Callithrix jacchus: one gene and its partners. The protein of the gene in region 1 interacts with the protein of each later gene in a biochemical or structural test. Links are inferred from orthologs where the notes say so. Each region holds a gene or a part of one and is shown in the gene's direction. Other genes may lie near its edges.

Region 1 (3,727 bases):
AAATGGGCTCTCTTTTCCCAGGACTGGCCCTTGCCCCACAGATGATCACGGGGCCACAGTAAAGTATGGACACATGTGAACACAGGTATTGCTTGTTTATTCAGTGGAGGTGTGGATCTTTAAGTTGTCTTTGGAGGTGGCAAATACAGGTTGTCTCATTCCTCTCATGCACTGAATGTGCCCTACTGTCTCCTGAAGAGGGGGCAAGGAACGGCAAAGACCTGATCCAGCCCCTTGTCCCCACAGGTGACCACCCCTATGAGTGTGAGTTCTGTGGCAGCTGCTTCCGGGATGAGAGCACACTCAAGAGCCACAAACGCATCCACACGGGTGAGAAACCCTACGAGTGCAATGGCTGCGGCAAGAAGTTCAGCCTCAAGCATCAGCTGGAGACGCACTATAGGGTGCACACAGGTACTGAGGGCCAGGGAGGGGCCTGAGCTGGCTCTCAGACCTGGGTGGAGGTGGAAAACCGATGGTCTGTCGGAGAAGCCTAAGTGAGAATGATCCCAGGCTGAACCAAAGAGTAGAAGAGGTTCTATTAAGGGCTGGTATGGTGGCCTGAGGACCATCACACCCCAGTCAAGGCCAAGGCAGACATTACTAATCAATCCCAGCACACTTTCCAATGAGATCCTGCCAGCCCTCCAGGCAGCTATACCAGTGGTTCAGAGGTGACATGCAAAATGATGTCTGTATGTGAGCACTTAGCTGAAAGTGAAGGTTAGGGTAATTTCAGTTGGAGTAAGAATTAGGGTGCATTGAATTAGGTTATTATGAAGGTCGGGAAATTGTAAAGTGAGCTCGTGTTTGGTTCTGAGATTAGAGGAGCAGATACATTTAATAATCCCTGTATGCATATGAGGTTTTACCATTTCAGAGTGCCTTTACATTCTTTTTTTTAAAAACTTTTACTCTTGTTGCCCAGGCTGGAGTGTAATGGCACAATCTCAGCTCACTGCAACCTCCACCCCCCAGGTTCAAGCGATTCTCCTGCCTCAGCCTCCCAATTACCTGGGATTACAGGCATGTGCCACCATGCCCAGCTAATTTTGTATTTTTTTAGTAGAGACAGGGTTTCGCCATGTTGGTCAGGCTGGTCTCAAGCTCCTGACCTCAAGTGATCTACCCACCTCAGCCTCCCAAAGTACTAGGATTTCAAGTGTGAGCCACTGCACCTGGCTACATCTTCTTTATATTGGACAAAGAAATATAGGCTACTCTTTTTCCTGAGGTCAGAAGACAAAATAAGCAGAGGGTCTTCCACAGTTTCCCAAGCTGGGGGCAGTGGAGTCCTGGAGCTGCACGTGCTTTGTGAAAGCTAATTTTTCAGATTTCTTCACAACTTCAAGTTCGGTGACCTCACCTTGGTTGCTCAAAATTGGCCCTGGGAGGAGTCGTCACATCATTGCAATTGGCAGATGCTACAAACCAGGGCTTTTTGGAAAGCCAGTTGTTAAACATTTACCACCAGCACACTGCTGGTTGTGGGGAAGGATGATTCACAGAAGAATAAGAGGTGGTGGAACTTGGAAAACAAAGATGCCCCCTCTGATCAGGGGAGACAGCTGTCCTGTCCAGAGGAAGGAGGAGAGGTGGCCTCAGGCAGGTCCTGCTGGCTTAGGGGAGAGTACATTGCCTTTAGAGGGGAAGGGTAGACCGAAGGAGCAGTAAGCAGAGCTGTGTGTTGTCAGAGCTCAGTATTCTTGCCCCAGTTTGAGCCCACAAGGAGAGGGTGAGGTGTCCATTGCTGACAACTACAGTGACCCAGAGGATTTCCCAGAGCCCTGGGGTTTCCCTAGCCCCTTGTCAGGGATGTGACCTGGCAGGTGGATCATTAACTGTATTGGCAGTGACTATTGTAAATAGCTGGTCGATAGTTAGATCACTTTGGCTGTTCATTACTTCATTATTTGCTGGGGCCTGTGCGTGGAGGAGTATTGATAGCGAGATGGCTGGCCAGTTAATTACTGTATTGAAACAAGGTTCTCTTACATCCTCTGCTCGCCTCCAGGGGACTCTGTGGAAGGAAAGTTGGGGTATAGAAGGCTAGGGTGTGGCTGTGCACTCCCAGGGTCTTTATTCCTCCCATCCCGCTCTACCCCCAATTCCAGCCTCAGGAGGGATGCAGGGTCTGCAGGGCAAGGTCTAGAGTTTTTAGCAGGATAGGCTGGGTGCAGTCGCTCACACCTGTAATCCCAGGACTTTGGGAGGCCGAGGCAGGCAGATCATTTGAGGTCAGGAGGTCAGGAGTTCAAGCCCAGCCTGGCCAACATGGTGAAAACCTGTCTCTACTAAAAATACAAAAATCAGGCCGGCGTGGTGGTGGCACCTGTGATCCCAGCTACTTGGTAGGCTGAGGCAGGGGATCGCTTGAACCTGGGAGGCGGAGGTTGCGGTGAGCTGAGATTGTACCACTGCTTTCAAGCCTGGACAACAGAGTGAGACTTTGTCTCAAAAGAAACAGCTTTAGCAGGATACATGTCCCCAGGTGTAGCATACTTGAAGGGGACACTCGGGGTTCCCTCAGTTTCCCCCCACCTCTGCTCCCCACCATCTGTAGCCCTGAAAGGTCTTGATCCACCTACTCCCTGGATGGAACTGTGGCTTGTGGCTTGAAGAGCCATTCCTGAGGACTTTGGGACCTTTCTCCTTCTAGACATCCATTTTCTTAATTAGAAAGGGAAAGACTTTGGCCTCGGGAGAGTTGAGAATAGTAAGATAAGGAGCTGGGCAATCCAGTAGATTATTAGTAAGACAAGTAGAATAGTAAGACAAGGAGCTGGGCAAACTAGCTACGTGTAGCTATTTAATTAGTTACCATGAAATAAAAATTGGAAAACTGTAGAGCCCCGGTCGAACCAGCCTCGTTCACAGCCGTGTGTAACTGGTGGCTGCCATCTGGGGTGGTACCTTGGTTGTCCCAGGAAGTTCTGTTGGAGTAATCCCTGCTGCAGGAGCCCAGCTTCTCCGGCACCCCCGAGGATGACTTGGGGCCCTCACTGCCCTCTGTCTGTCCTCACTTTCTCCTGCCCCATCTCCCTACCCTCAGGTGAGAAGCCCTTTGAGTGTAAGCTCTGCCACCAGCGCTCCCGGGACTACTCGGCCATGATCAAGCACCTGAGAACACACAACGGCGCCTCGCCCTACCAGTGCACCATCTGCACCGAGTACTGCCCCAGCCTCTCCTCCATGCAGAAGCACATGAAGGGCCACAAGCCCGAGGAGATCCCGCCCGACTGGAGGATAGAGAAGACGTACCTCTACCTGTGCTACGTGTGAAGCGGGGCCCGTGGCGGTGGAGCCAAGCAGGGAGCCAGGAAAGAAGAGTTGGAGCAAGATGAAGTCAAGGAAGGACTGTGAAAAAGAAAAAAAGGAAAAGAAAAAAAAAGAGAAGAGAAAGGAAACCTGATAGCTTTTTGGCCTTGGATTCTCTCTGGGCTCCAGATGACCTGGATGCCAAGCCACTGCCCCTCCTCTGGGGGCCTCCACCCTCCCCTCCCGGCTGGAGGTTTGCCTGATTTTCTGCTATGGGGTGGGGTATGTCGTTCACTCAAATGGCGGCAGATTTTTCTCCTCCCTCCACCCAGTCCTTCCTTTATGTATCCAGAAACGGAGGCTAAGAAGCAGGTGAGCGGTCCTCTGGTAAGAGCCACACAGTCTCTGCCGACCTTCCTCCCCCAGCCCCCCAGAAGATGAAGGGAGGGAAGATGGGGCTGGGCAGCGT
Region 2 (4,353 bases), on another chromosome or scaffold:
GGCAACATATACATCTTGCCAGTCTAGGGCCTGGCAAACCCTGCCTCTGCCTATAGGTGTGGTCCCCCAATCCTCCTACTCCCAATCTGAGGGCAGGGGACCCCTTTGCCATCCCTGACTGGTGGAAGCTGGCTGGGAAATTGGGCTCCAGGAGCCATAGCCACTGTGTCCTTGGTTGGCCAGCTCCTCTTGGGCTCCCAACAAGAGGGTGAGGTCATCCAGTCCAGAGAGAGGACAGGTGTCCCTGGCTCCATGCCTGGAGTGGGGGGCAAGGAGGGGGCTCCAAAATAGCAACTGTGACATCAGGAAGAGGGAGGGGGATGCAGACACAGGAATAACCAGGCTATTAAAAGGCTCTAGTGAGGTCAGGGGGCCAAGTGGGATCTCTGTACCTGTGGGAGCACAACCTGAGGAGAAGGGGCAGGCCAGCAGTGGGGAGGGCATGGGAGTGGCACGGGTCCTCACAGTGCACCAGCCCTAGGACCCAGGGAGCAGAGCCTATGCTGCCAGGCCTGAGTCTGGCTGGTGGGGAATGGCTGGATGCTGAAAGACTACTGACTCTTCCTAGCGAGGCACCAACCTCAAGTCTCTTCCTACTTGAGCACAGGGTTTATTGTACCTGTTCATAGAAACCCTGGGAAATGGGAGGCAGTGTGGTGTGGTGGGTCGAGCTCAGACTTGAGTCTCGGACATCCCAGCCCTGTCATCTAAGCAGCTGTATGACCCAGGGTGAGTGACCATCTCCCTGTGCCTCAGTTTTCCCTTCTGTGCCTCTCTCCCAAAGTCACCATGCAGAATGAGATGATGTATGTGATGTTCTTAGCACCACACCTGGCACATGGATAGGGAGGAGCTACCTGTGCTGCGAGAATGGGCAGGTGTTCCCTGGTTCGCTTTCCCAGGCTTGGGGTGAGGAAAGGGGACCAGGGAACCCCTGTCTGCCCAGGAAGAATATCCCTACCCCCTAGAAAGAAGCTGAGGCTGAGCAGCCTCTGGAGGCGACACTCCAGAATGAGTGGGAGGGAGCTGCCATTGGCAGGTGTTTGGGGGTCTCTCTGCTGGTTGAAGGACTGAGGAGGCACTCCATTCCTCAGCTTTGTGGGAGGGTAGAATAAGCAAACCTCCATGGGCTGTTAGAACTCCAGGGAAGTTGCCTGTCTGCCAGCCTCTCCCAGACCCTTTCTATTCCTTTACCTGGTCTGGAAGGCAAGAGGGCAGATGGAGGCTTGAGTCTGGCTTCTTGGTCTCTGTCCCCTGGCTTGCTTGCCAAAAGTAGCAGTCAGAGCCGCTCCCAGATGCATGGGTACCCCAGCCAGCGCCCTTCCCCAGCCCAGCCTCTGGCCACCTATCGCTATGGCCTTGGCCCTGAGTGCAGGCCCTCCCCCGTTCCCATCCCCCTCGCCTGGCGCTTCCTCCTGGGGTAGAACCGCCTCCCCCCCATGGGGCCTCCTGGCAGCCGGCCCGCAGCTCCCTGAGCATGCTCCACCTATTTATAGACAGGGCCCTCCCCCAACTGCTATTTCAGTCTCCTGCCAGCTGCCGGCGGTGGCTCATTCGGGAAGGAGGAGCAGGGAGCCGGCCCAGAGCTGTCACCCAGGATTGGGAGGGAACACAGAGAGCCCGCCTGCCCGCTGAGCTCCCCTTCCTGTCCCAAGTGCTCAGCCATACCCCAGCTCCCGGGAACCAAGGAAAGGCTGGTGGTCGGATACCCCTTTAGAGCAGAGCTGGGCCTGCAGCTCTTGGGCCTCCCTGCCCCTCCTGCCGTCAGGAGTGCCCAGGCCGGATGAGGCACTTCCCCACAGTACGCGTCCCATTGGCAGTGGCCTGAGGGAACCCCTGCACAGTGCGGGCCACCTGACCACCTTTCCTTGGGCTGGCTTTCCGCCTCTGGCGGTCCCCTCCCTGGCATGCTGCTGGTGCCCAAGGCTCAGGGGCTCGTGGAGATGCTGCAGACCATCTATGAGACAGAATCCTGTTTCTCAGCAGATGGGATGTCAGGCCGGGAACCATCCTTGGAAATCCTGCCTCGGACTTCTCTGCACAGCATCCCTGTGACAGGTAAGTGCCTTGGTGTCCCTGCCTGCCCTCTGTCATTGGGTATCCTTGTCCCTGGGCTGAGCATCTGGCTCCGAGCCTTGTGCAGATAGCATCCTGTGTAGATCTGTCTTGAGAGTTTCACTGAGAATACACAGGGCTGGGGGATCCCTGCTCAGAGAGGCCCCTGCCCTCCCTGCCCAGAGCCTGCTGCTCCCCTGTGCCCTGCAGCTGTACTCTGCTGCTTCACTTCCAGTCACTTTGGCCTCTGGCAGGGTCAGCATCTGTTGCTAGGGGCTGGGGGTTACTGGAGGATCCTGGCCTAGTTGGCAGTGTGGTCAGAGGGGAGGAAGTGGGTCAGTGACCCGCCTCCTTGCTGCCCGCTCCCCAGGTTTGGGCAAGGGAAGAAGGCGTAGCTAGGTGTCCACAGGAATAAAGCTTACCCCGGCTCCTCTGGCTTGGTTCTTAGGGCTAGAGCATCAAGTCCAGTAACTTCCGCCAAGTCCCCAGCCAGGAGTCTCCTGAGAATCAGACACTTGGGGAGGCTTGGTATAGTTGTGATGGAGTTAGGCAGAGGCTGGCAGCTCGGATATTGAGGGGCTTGGCTGCCTTCGCATCTAGCTGGCTCCCGATATCGCTCCTCTCCCCAGGTCTGGGTTGATTCCCGTGTCATGAGGATGAAGAGGTATTACTCTGGCTCAGATGGGGTTAGGACCCCCTAATCCTGCCACCCTCTCAGCAGTAACCTTTTTTGCCTCTTGGCTAGGGGTGGGGTCCCCCAGAGCTGGGCTACTCCTTCCCTCACTCCCGGCAACCTTTCGGCAGCATCAAGCCTTTCTGGCACAGCCTCCCCACCAGGCCGGCACCACAAGATGCTTCTTCCAGGGAGGGGCCTGCTGGACCCATGCCTGCTTGGCCCCTCCTGGTAGTGGCTTGGCATTCAAGTGTGGGTGACTATGTGTGTGCACGTGTGAATGGGGAGTCTTTGCCTATGGATATGTGGGAGTGCATCCCAAGCTTCGAATTGGAAGGTGGGAACTGTGTGCCTCTGCAGGTCCCTGTGATTTGGCTCTGAGCTGCCCAGGGATAATGTTGCAGTGCGACTTGGATGTGTCAGAGAATAAATGTTTCGGGAGGATTCAGAAGATCTTTGGAACATGGCCTATCATCTTCCTGAGCAGGGATACCCCTGCAGTGTTCTCACGTAGGGGCATGGCCCTGGAGACTAGCCCTGCAGGGTATCCATGCAGGCCCCGGGGATAGGGGCCTTACCCTGGGGCCAGCCCTGTAGGCTGGGGCTGGGATGAGGGTGTAACCTTGAGGACCAGCTCTACTGTGTACCCATGAAGTCCCGTGAGGTAAGGGCATATGCCTGGGAGCCAGCTCCATAGGCCCCTGGGATAAGGAATAAACCCAGAGGGCTGGTTCTTATCCTGGTCTGGAGTCCACAGGGTCAGCGAAAGACCCTGCCTGCTTGCCCCTAGTCCATGGCCTCCGGGACTTAAGGTGGTCTCTTGGAAGGCAGAATAATCACGGAGCATTTGCTTGGGGCAGCTCTACCCTGTGTGGCTTATCAGGTCCACCCATCCTGTCCTGTCCCCTCCATTCCTTGCTACTAGCAGCAGCCAGCAGTTGGCCCAGAGTTTCCTCCTTGGCTTGTTTACTCACCTCTTTTCAGACTGTACCCCAGAAACCTCGAAGGCTGGACCCTGCTCTCTCATCCCATCCCTAAGCCTGGCTGCCCCTGCATGGACCCCCAGGCACCTCCTCTCTCCAGATGCCTGTCTCCCCACACCAGCCGATGTGGGGGGTGGACCAAGCCTTCTGAGTGGTGGCTTGCTCCATGCTGGCAGGAGGGAGGCGTGAGTCACCTCAGCGGCTCGGGGAGAGGGCTAAGAATGTTCCCCCTGCGCAGCTCTGATGCTGTGTCTGTGACGCGGCTAGGGACAGATATAGGCCTGGAGCTCGGCTGCCTTGTTTTTTTTTTTTTTTTTTTTGGACTCTGGAATGTAAATAGATGTTTCAAATAGAAACACTTTAACCTTTGGGTTAAAAAAAATCCACCCCGGATAAACACGGCCATGAGGGCCCGGGCAGCCTGGTGTTTCCCTCCCCACCCCCTCTCCCCGTCTCTTGATCGGTCTCCAGACAGGATGCAAGAGCCTGGGGCTGAAAAAGCAGGTGTCCAGGGATGCTTCTTTGGACAGTGTGAATTGCACAGGCCTCCCAAGGGGTTGGGGTAAGGGGCTTTTGAGGGTACGCCTGCCTGCCACCTCCAGCAGCATCTTGGAACCCTATTTTAGGGACAGCCTTTGCTCT
Region 3 (4,191 bases), on another chromosome or scaffold:
CCTCTAAGGAAATAGAATGGTCAAGTGCCTAGTGATTATTATTAACAGCAACAATAATAATGGGTCACATTTACTGAGAGCTTATACCGTGCCTGGCACTATGCTACTTTTATGTGTTCCCACATTCATTTCTCAAAAAGCTTCCAACGAAGTAGTTATTATTTTTTTCCATTTGAGAGATGTCAAAACTGAGGCTCAGTGAAATTTTCTTGTCCAAGGTCACACAGTAAATAGCAAAGGCAGGATTCAAACTCAGATCTGTAGGATTCCAGTGCACTATGGAAACCTAGGCCTGGGTTGCTGGGGGCAAGTTAAGAGGGCAGGGCCAGATTGACCCCTGCAAAGGTGGGGATAGGGACAGTGGGATAGACTGCGTATAAATAGCAGGCCTGTTTTTATCCCTACACACAGGCAGAATCAGGCAAGAGCTCTATCTGGCACAATTTGAGGGCTCTGAAAGCCAACCCAGCCCTGTGTCAAACAAGTCTCTCCCCAGCACGTCCCTGGAAACTGAAATACCTACTGAGAGACTCATTTCTTTGGATCAGGATAGTGACTCCAGAAGACCCCTGTAAAAGCACAGGGGTTGAAAGAGAAACACTCCGTGCCTGTGAAACAGCAATCTAGGGTAGCCAGCTGGGTCCTATGGGAGGGAGGCTCATTGTTTATGTTGAGGAAAAAGGTGGCAGTCAAAGGCAAGGAAAAGAATAAGGCTTGTTTCACAACCTGTGTCTCTCCAATCTCAGAAGCCTGGGAATTATAATCCATACTTCAAAAATCCTAATGTCCCTGGGGGAAAGATGGGAGGACGCCACTCCAGGCTCTGGGAGAGTACTAACTTCCTTTGCTTTTGCTGGATTGATACCAAGTGCCTGCAACTTCAACTCTGGTTATCTCGGGTTCATGATACAGCTGGCATTCATGCGTCTAAATCTTACATGATAAATGAATTAATTATTATTTGATGCTTGCTATGTTGATAGGCCAAAAGGTGGGCTTCTAAAACTTAGAGGGTGACAGGGATGGAGACCCTTGGTAGAGAGCTGAGACGACCCAAGATGCCAGGCCCCAGACAGGACTCAGCTCGCAGTCACAAGGCTGCAGCGCGACAGGCGTTTGGGGAAAGGTAGGAACCGCTCCCCGCCACCTGCCAGTCAGCAGCCTTACCCACAGTCAGGCCGCGGCTGCCTCGGCCTGGTCCCAAAAAATGTGAGCGCCGCCCCCTCCTCCCGCCCGGTCCGCCGCCGTGGCGGGGTCGGGGGCTGCGCTGCAGGCGCCGCGAGCCTGGCGAGCTTCCCAGCACGGGAGGAGGGAGGGGGCGGCGCCGGGCAGGGCGGGGCTTCGGCGCCTCCCGGAGCCTTATTCCCGGCCGCGCGCCGGGCAGCGCTCATTTCGCCGAAGGAACTACGGTGTCCAAGCTTCTGGCTGGCCTGACCTAGGCGCGCGGGGTCTGGCGAACGCGGCGGGCGGAGTGAGCAAGACAGACACTAAACGAGAGCGAGCTGCGCGCGGGTCGCGGCCAGGCTTGCACGCAGAGGCGGGCGGCGAACGGTGCCCAGAGGAATCTCCTGAGCTCCGCCGCCCAGCTCCGGTGCCAGCGCCCAGTGGCCGCCGCCTCCAAAGTGATTGGTGCCTCGCCGCCTCCACTCGGTGCGGGACCATGAAGCTGCCGCCGTCGGTGGTGCTGAAGCTCTTTCTGGCTGCAGGTAAGAGGACTGCTGACGCCCCCGGAGATCGGGGGGATGGGGGCGCTGTGCTGGGGGCACCGGGGAAGGTCGCCGCAGCGCCCCCGGCACGGGCCACTTGGTGGGGCCCTTGCGCTCTGGCGGAGGGGCGTGGGCATCGATGCGTGTTAGTCGGGGGTCTGGGCGGGTGTCTGATGCGGCCTGGCCCCTCGCCTGCAGTTCTCTCGGCGCTGGTGACTGGCGATAGCCTGGAGCGGCTTCGGAGAGGGCTAGCTGCTGGAACCAGCAACCCGGACCCTCCCACTGGATCCACGGACCAGCTGCTGCCCCTAGGAGGCGGCCGGGACTGGAAAGTCCGTGACTTGCAAGAGGCAGATCTGGACCTTTTGAGAGGTGGGTGTGGAGGCCGTCCATCCTCGGACCCTGGTGGGCTCTTGAAAAATAAACAGATCCAAGATTCTTGCTGTTTGGCCAATACTGTGGGTTGGGGATATTCATGGAGAACCTTGGGGAAAAGCTGATGGGCCTGACGGACACTGGGGGATCCTGGAATATAGGTCCCACTCTCTGTCTTGCCATTGGCCTGGCCTGCTAGATTGCTGCCCTTCTGGGTACTTTGGGGCAAATTGAAAAAGGCAAGTTGTCTTGAGTTTGTTACATTCTTCTTAGGTAAGCTGGGAGATAGGAACAAGGAATGGTTGAGATGCTTTCCCTAGAGTTACTATGTAAAAATGGGTGCCAATTCTAATTCCCTCATCAAAATGACTATTATGTATAAAATAGAGGTAACCGATGAGGAGATGCCCAGGCACATCTATAGAAAATGTGCAATGTTAGCCTCCTCCATCCACCTGTCACCAGATTGGGGAAACAGAAGGGAATGAGAAGCTCTTGGCTGCCGTAGGTGAGGCGGTGAATGGTGAGCACTGGGCCTCTAGGGGGCTGTGTTAAAGTGCTGGGTATCTATGAATGCTACGGGAAACTTGAAGGCTTCCTGAGCACCTTGCATTCCTGAGGAGACTGCAAATGGGAGAGCTGTGTAAGATCCTCCAACCAGCCTCTTTGGCTGTGGGCAAGTACAGGCACAGGGCAGAGTCCAGAGCCTGCCAGCTTTCCTGCCTCCAGACCTGAAGAGATTCTCCAGGGTAGAGCAGGGACTCTGAATGACTATATTTGGTTGGACAGATGCCCACCTGTTCTAGCTCCTCCTGCTCCTCAGCTGCCTTTCTCCCTCCTTCCCAGGAGCTTCCCTTGGGTACTCTCTCTACTTTGTATAAATCAAGCACGTGCTCCAAAACTGAGCCTTGGGCTTCCATGCTTCATCCTCCCCTAGTGGCCCTCTGGGGTTGCCCATGACCTGAACAGCCTGAACTCTTCTGGCCCTCTCCTAGGCTGGGCAGGGCTGGGCTGTGACTCACCCCACCCCCACCCCACACCCACACGACTGCTCCTCATACCTCTGCAGACCTGACTCACTGCTCCTTCTCCACGGCAGGAGCCTGGCTGTCACCCTGCATCTTTTCCCACCCCTTTCTGATTGGCGTGGCCCTCCTGCTTTGCTCTCCTGGAAGCTCTGGTCCCTGGGTTCCTCTGACCACCTGCATCACCTTCTGAGCTCTGAGGTGGCCTGGGACTGGATGAGAGGAAATAAGGGACTGTGGGGTTGCTGGCATCTACTTCTCTAACCTTCTCTTGGCTCTGCTGGGCAAGGACTATTTTTCAAGTCTGGGGATCCTATCACTTAAAATAAATGACTGCTACCATTTATTAAATGCCTACTGTGTTCTAGGCACTTGATATGTTATCCTGGTTAATTTAACACTTACAGCAACCTTTTGAGATAGTTATTCTTCTATCCACATTTGCCTGAGAACCTGAGGTTCAGAGAGGTTAAGTGACTTGCCCACAGTCATATGGCTGAAATTGGAGCACAGGTCTATGGACTTCAGAGCCCATTCATGCCTGGCTCAGCATCTCAGGTGCTCCAGACTTGAGGGAAGGAGGAGATGGGGTGGTGTGAGGCAGCTTGATGTGATGAGGAAGGACATTGGAATGGAGTCCAGAGACCACAGTTCTAATCCCAATTCTGCGTGACCTTGAGTAAATCACTCTGCCTGCCATGATATTCTTTTTTTTTTTTTTTTTTTGAGACAGTCTCACTCTGTCACCCAGGTTGGAATGCAATGGCACGATCTCAGCTCACTGCAATCTCAGCCTCCCGGGTTCAAGCGATTCCCCTGCCTCAGCCTCCCTAGTAGTTGAGATTACAGGCATGCACCACTATGCCCAGCTAAATTTTTGTATTCTTAGTAGAGATGAGATTTTGCCATGTTGGCCAAGCTGGTCTTGAACTCTTGACCTCAGGTCATCTGCCTGCCTCAGTCTCCCAAAGTGTTAGGATTACAGGCGTGAGCCACCATGCCTGGCGTCATGTTATTCTTTGAAGTCACTTCCAGCTTGAGACTCTAAGTCTCTAGTCTAATGTATCATGCTCACTCTTCTGCTA
Region 4 (4,402 bases), on another chromosome or scaffold:
ACTGAATCTTATCATCTAGATGTTAGCTAGCTACAGACTGTTTCATTCTACAGGAAAATTTGATGGCGCACCGTTTCCATCAGCAGCTAAGCCTCCAAAACCCCGTAATCGCTCCCCTGTTCAGCTCTATCTTGTTTTAAAATTGTCATTCACCATTCCTTTCCTTCCGCGTTCAGCCATCTCAGAGTAAGCATTTCTTACAATGACCAAAGTTTTCCAATTATGAGTTATTGAGACGTTTAATGTAAAATTGGCATTTTTATTTTGCTAACTGTATTTCTATCCACATAACTACAATATCACCCCCCCACCCCCGCCAAGAATCACAGGTCGAGAATGCCATAAGGACGGATCCTTGCTCAGCTCCGAGGAGGAACGGCCTACAGTCGAAGCGGACGGGCATCTCCGCCAGGCCCAGCGTCCCGGGGCCCACGCAGGCAGGGCCCACGCACCGGCGCGAGCTGTCAAAGGCGCTTCCTCCCTGGAACGCGGGGTTCCGCGTTTCATCTTGTGCACCAAAGATGAAAAGTTGTCACACTCCTGCTGGAAAGAAATGGCAACTTCACCGCCAGGAGGTGGCCACTGAAGACCACCGCCCACACCGTTCGGCTGTGGCCACCAAAGGCGCTCGCGGGGCTGCCGGGCCCGACCTTTAACCACACGAGCCCCCCCACAAGCCCCGCCGCCTTAAAACAACGCCCACCCGGCCACTGCGCCGCTCCCGCCCCCTCCACGTCTGCCCGGCCCGGGACTGGAGACCCTGGCGGCGGCCCGGACTATCTCCGTCTGCGCAGGGATGCGAAGGCCGCGTCCCACGACCCGCCGTTGTAGGCCTGACCGGCCTGCGCTCCGCACCCCCACGGCCGCGTTCCCGCCGCGGGGCAGGGCGAGGCCCGCCGCGCCTGCGCACTCGGTGACCCGGCCGCCCTGCGCCTCCGTGCGCACGCAGCACCACGTGACCTACTGCCAGTACCTAAGATGGAGGTCGCGGCGAGGCCTGGCCGGCTCCCGGCCTCAGCCTGCATCCCATTGTGTGCTCTCTAAGCGCGAATTAGGCTCGCAGACACGCGGTGCTGACCCTTAGACAGCCATGCGGGCTACTGATTGGGACGATACGGCCAGGGCCAGTGTTTACGGTCACTGCTGGCCCCGGGTCCCAGCGCTTCCCCAACCGCAAAGCGAAACACCCAGTGGCTGGCGCCTGGAGCGTCCTTCGGTACGCCCGCCCCCTGGAATTGGCAGCTCCGAGAGCCAATGAGGTCCAGGACGTGTGCGGGGAGGCGGGCATGGGTGGAGCCTCTCTGTCGCTCATAGGGCGTCCGGCCCCGCGGTTGGGCAGCTCCTGGGCGAGGGGTGGGAGCAGACGGGCTGTGCGCAGGCCCCAGAGGACCAATGGATGGCCGGCCAGGCGCCCGGGGCGGGCGGGCAGGAGGCGGGGCCGAGCCGTAATTGACGAGCTCTTCATTAGAAACCAGGCGGCGGGGCGGGGCCCGCAAGGGGAGGTGACGCAAGGCTACCGCAGCCAATAGCTGATGAGCCGCCGGCGGGCGGGGCGGGGCCGGGTCGGCTGACGGGCGTGCGGGGTGGCCTATTGCCGCCCGGCTCGGCGCTGGAGGGGGGAGAAGCATCATGGTTCAACGTGGGTCAATTTTTTGTGAATGAGGAGGGGAGGTTGTGGGGCCGCCGCCGCGGAGCACCGTCCCCGCCGCCGCCCGAGCCCGAGCCCGAGCCCGCGCTCCCGCCCGCGCCGCCGCTGCCGCCGCCGCCCGAGCAGCCTCCCAGCCTGGGCCCCCGGCGGCGCTGCGGCCGCGTCCCGGCTGTCGCCGCCCGAGCCCGAGCCCGCTCGCCGGCGGGTGGCGGCGCAGGCTGAGGAGATGCGGCGCGGAGCGCCCGAGCAGGGCTAGAGCCGCCCGCCGCCGCCCGCCGCGGTAAGCGCAGCCCCGGCCCGGCGCCCGCGGGCCATTGTCCGCCGCCCGTCCCGCGCCCCGCGCCGCCCGCAGGCCTCGGAGCCCGCGGCAGGTGGACGCAGCCGGTCCACACCCGCCCCGCGCGCGGCCGTGGGAGGCGGGGGCCAGCGCGGGCCGCGCGCCGTGGGACCCGGCGGTCCCCAGGGCCGCCCGGCCCCTTCTGGACCTTTCCAGCCGCGCCGCGAGGCGGCCTCGCTCGCCGGGGCGGGGGCGCGGGGGTGGGCACGGCCGGCAGCGGCGCCGTGGCCCGGTGCGGAGCCCGCGCCCCCCAAGCAGGTGGGCTCCGGGCCGCCGGGAGTGAGGGCGGGGGCGGGCGGGCGCCGTTTATGTAACTTTGTCAAATGCTGTGAGTTTGCAGAAAAACCTCCCCGCAGGGGTCCGCGGCCCCGCGCGTGTCGTAGCCGCCGTGAGCCCCCGGGGTTCGTGGGAGGGCGGGGGGCTGCCTGGGACCCCCTCGGCTCAGCCCGTGGGGCGTCCACAGGCCGAGATGGGGCCCGGCCCCGCTCGGGGGTGGGATCCGCGTTTCTCGGCGTTGCGAAAACACACCACAGAATCATAAGCAAATTATCTTGTATTTACATTGAGCTTTGAATTATTTGACACTGTTCTAGCGGGAGACCGTGTGTATCAGTCGGAAGGGCCGGGGGTGGAACCCTGTGTACTCATTTAATGCACATCAAAAATTTGTAATAACTTGAGGCAGCTGATATGAGTGTTTTCTTTATTGCATGTTGTAAATTGACCTGCTGTGACACAATTTTCAAATAAAGCGTTGCAGAAATTAAACTTAAGTTATTTTAAAACTAATGACTTTCTTAACTAAATCCTAATTGCATGACTGTGGAGACCTACCTAATTGCTTGCTGAGAGCAGTTCTGCCTGCCCTCGGTGAGGGAGGAAAGGGCCTGTGTAGCCACTTTGCCGCCCCGTTTTTCTCTATTCAGGCATTTCTGTTTATTCCCACAAATCGCCGAAGCAGTAAGGCCTGGGAGTAAACCTGTAAACAGCCCTGGCTCAGCGCCAGCCCAGCAGGACTGAGGGGGATACTGGCAGGTTTGCACCTTGACCTGGTTTCACTTTTTCTTTTGTAATATGATCGTGGTTGCCTGGAGTTTTAATTGCTTCTGATAATTCTGTGCATTATTTTCGGGACCGTCCAAAGAAGGCGGGTGTGGTGGTTTCAGGACCCAGCCTGGGAAGGTGGTGGCGGTGGCGGCTGGGGAGGGGGAGGGAGGAAGGGAGGGAGATAGAGTTAAGAAAACTCAGCTGCTTGTACACAAATATACACTAAAGCAGTTACAAAGCAGCAAAAGTTATTGCAGAATTTTGCAGTAACTATGGCAACACAATTACTCTATTATAATTGGAAATGCGAAATGCCACCCAGTTAGAAGTTTCATCAGGAAGGAGTTTTGGATATCAAAAATATGAGAGATGTAATTTTTTTTCAGGTAGCTCGTGTGAATTCTAAAATCTGTCTTCAATTACCTATTTTTAAGACTGATCGCGCTTTCCCAGATAGTCTACTCTGGGATCCGTGGCATCTTTCCCCAGAAGAACTCACATTTGTGTGGGAGGGAAGTATTTTCATGTCTTAAAAACACACCCCGACACATTGTAAGACTTGTATAGCTTTCTGTGTTCTGGGCTCTGATTTTAGAGATCAAATCTCGTCCTAAAAAGAGCAGTAATCTATTAGAAAAGAAGCCGCTGTACTCAGCAGGCAGATGTAACGCTGCCCTCTTTAGGGTTCTTTCTCCCTAAAGGCGAGCTGGCAGCAGGCTTGACCCCGGGGGAGCCCTGGGCTAAGAGGCGGGACTGAGGGAAGATGACTGGACGGCATATAGGCCTGGAAGGCCTAGGGACAAGGACAGATGTGGCCTCGGAGCCCTGCACCAGAGACAATGTTCTGTGGTCAGCAGTTTTGTAGCAATGCAAAGTAAAAATCCCCAAGTGACATGTTCTCAGAGGCTTTGGGGGCTGTTGCTGTAGTGAGATGGGCAGAACAACCTGGCACGCGGGCCACGTGTGGCTCAGGCAGCCCATCTGGACTCTCTCTGGCCAGAGACCTGCTTGAGAAGGGTGCCCTGTGGATGTTTACCAGGAGGACTCCAGTGCTGGAAGTTTCCACACATTGTGGGGCTGCTGCAGTGTGATTTCCTGATAACTCTTTCCTTTAACTACTGCATATTTATGCCCAGTAATCGACTTCCATTCTCCAGCTTCATTGTGAGGTTTCAATGCAGCGTGAATGGCTTTGAATTCCAATCCTTTGATGTTGGGGTGGCACCAAAGGAAAGGCGACTTTGTGCTGTCTTAATTGCCAGAGCAGAAGAAACATTTCACTCCTGTAGAATTTGTCCATACTGTTCTCTTGAAGACGGCTGGGCTTTCATAGCTCAGAAGCTGCCATGAGTAATGTATTAGTACCTGAT

What was found.
Region 2: the proteins of ZBTB16 (region 1) and HDAC5 form a complex in vitro, tested with the Homo sapiens proteins (2 studies listed by BioGRID). The link is inferred for Callithrix jacchus from reciprocal best matches to the Homo sapiens genes ZBTB16 and HDAC5.
Region 3: the proteins of ZBTB16 (region 1) and HBEGF form a complex in vitro, tested with the Homo sapiens proteins (2 studies listed by BioGRID). The link is inferred for Callithrix jacchus from reciprocal best matches to the Homo sapiens genes ZBTB16 and HBEGF.
Region 4: the proteins of ZBTB16 (region 1) and HDAC4 form a complex in vitro, tested with the Homo sapiens proteins (2 studies listed by BioGRID). The link is inferred for Callithrix jacchus from reciprocal best matches to the Homo sapiens genes ZBTB16 and HDAC4.

Annotation. Positions count from the first base shown.
Region 1 is NC_133511.1:13,929,739-13,933,465, forward strand, and holds part of ZBTB16 (zinc finger and BTB domain-containing protein 16), read left to right. Parts: intron 1-246; coding exon 247-414; intron 415-3,052; coding exon 3,053-3,282; 3' UTR 3,283-3,727. UniProt on the Homo sapiens protein: Acts as a transcriptional repressor. Transcriptional repression may be mediated through recruitment of histone deacetylases to target promoters. May play a role in myeloid maturation and in the development and/or maintenance of other differentiated tissues.
Region 2 is NC_133506.1:70,958,397-70,962,749, reverse strand, and holds the start of HDAC5 (histone deacetylase 5), read left to right. Parts: upstream 1-1,547; 5' UTR 1,548-1,907; coding exon 1,908-2,058; intron 2,059-2,477; coding exon of another isoform or gene 2,478-2,707; exon of another isoform or gene 2,708-2,840; intron 2,841-3,702; coding exon of another isoform or gene 3,703-3,755; exon of another isoform or gene 3,756-3,928; intron 3,929-4,353. Other genes in the region: uncharacterized protein LOC118153996, read right to left, coding at 2,478-2,707. UniProt on the Homo sapiens protein: Responsible for the deacetylation of lysine residues on the N-terminal part of the core histones (H2A, H2B, H3 and H4).
Region 3 is NC_133503.1:38,719,104-38,723,294, reverse strand, and holds the start of HBEGF (proheparin-binding EGF-like growth factor), read left to right. Parts: upstream 1-1,385; 5' UTR 1,386-1,660; coding exon 1,661-1,706; intron 1,707-1,904; coding exon 1,905-2,078; intron 2,079-4,191. UniProt on the Homo sapiens protein: Growth factor that mediates its effects via EGFR, ERBB2 and ERBB4. Required for normal cardiac valve formation and normal heart function. Promotes smooth muscle cell proliferation. May be involved in macrophage-mediated cellular proliferation.
Region 4 is NC_133507.1:160,740,293-160,744,694, reverse strand, and holds the start of HDAC4 (histone deacetylase 4), read left to right. Parts: upstream 1-1,596; 5' UTR 1,597-1,639; intron 1,640-4,402. UniProt on the Homo sapiens protein: Responsible for the deacetylation of lysine residues on the N-terminal part of the core histones (H2A, H2B, H3 and H4).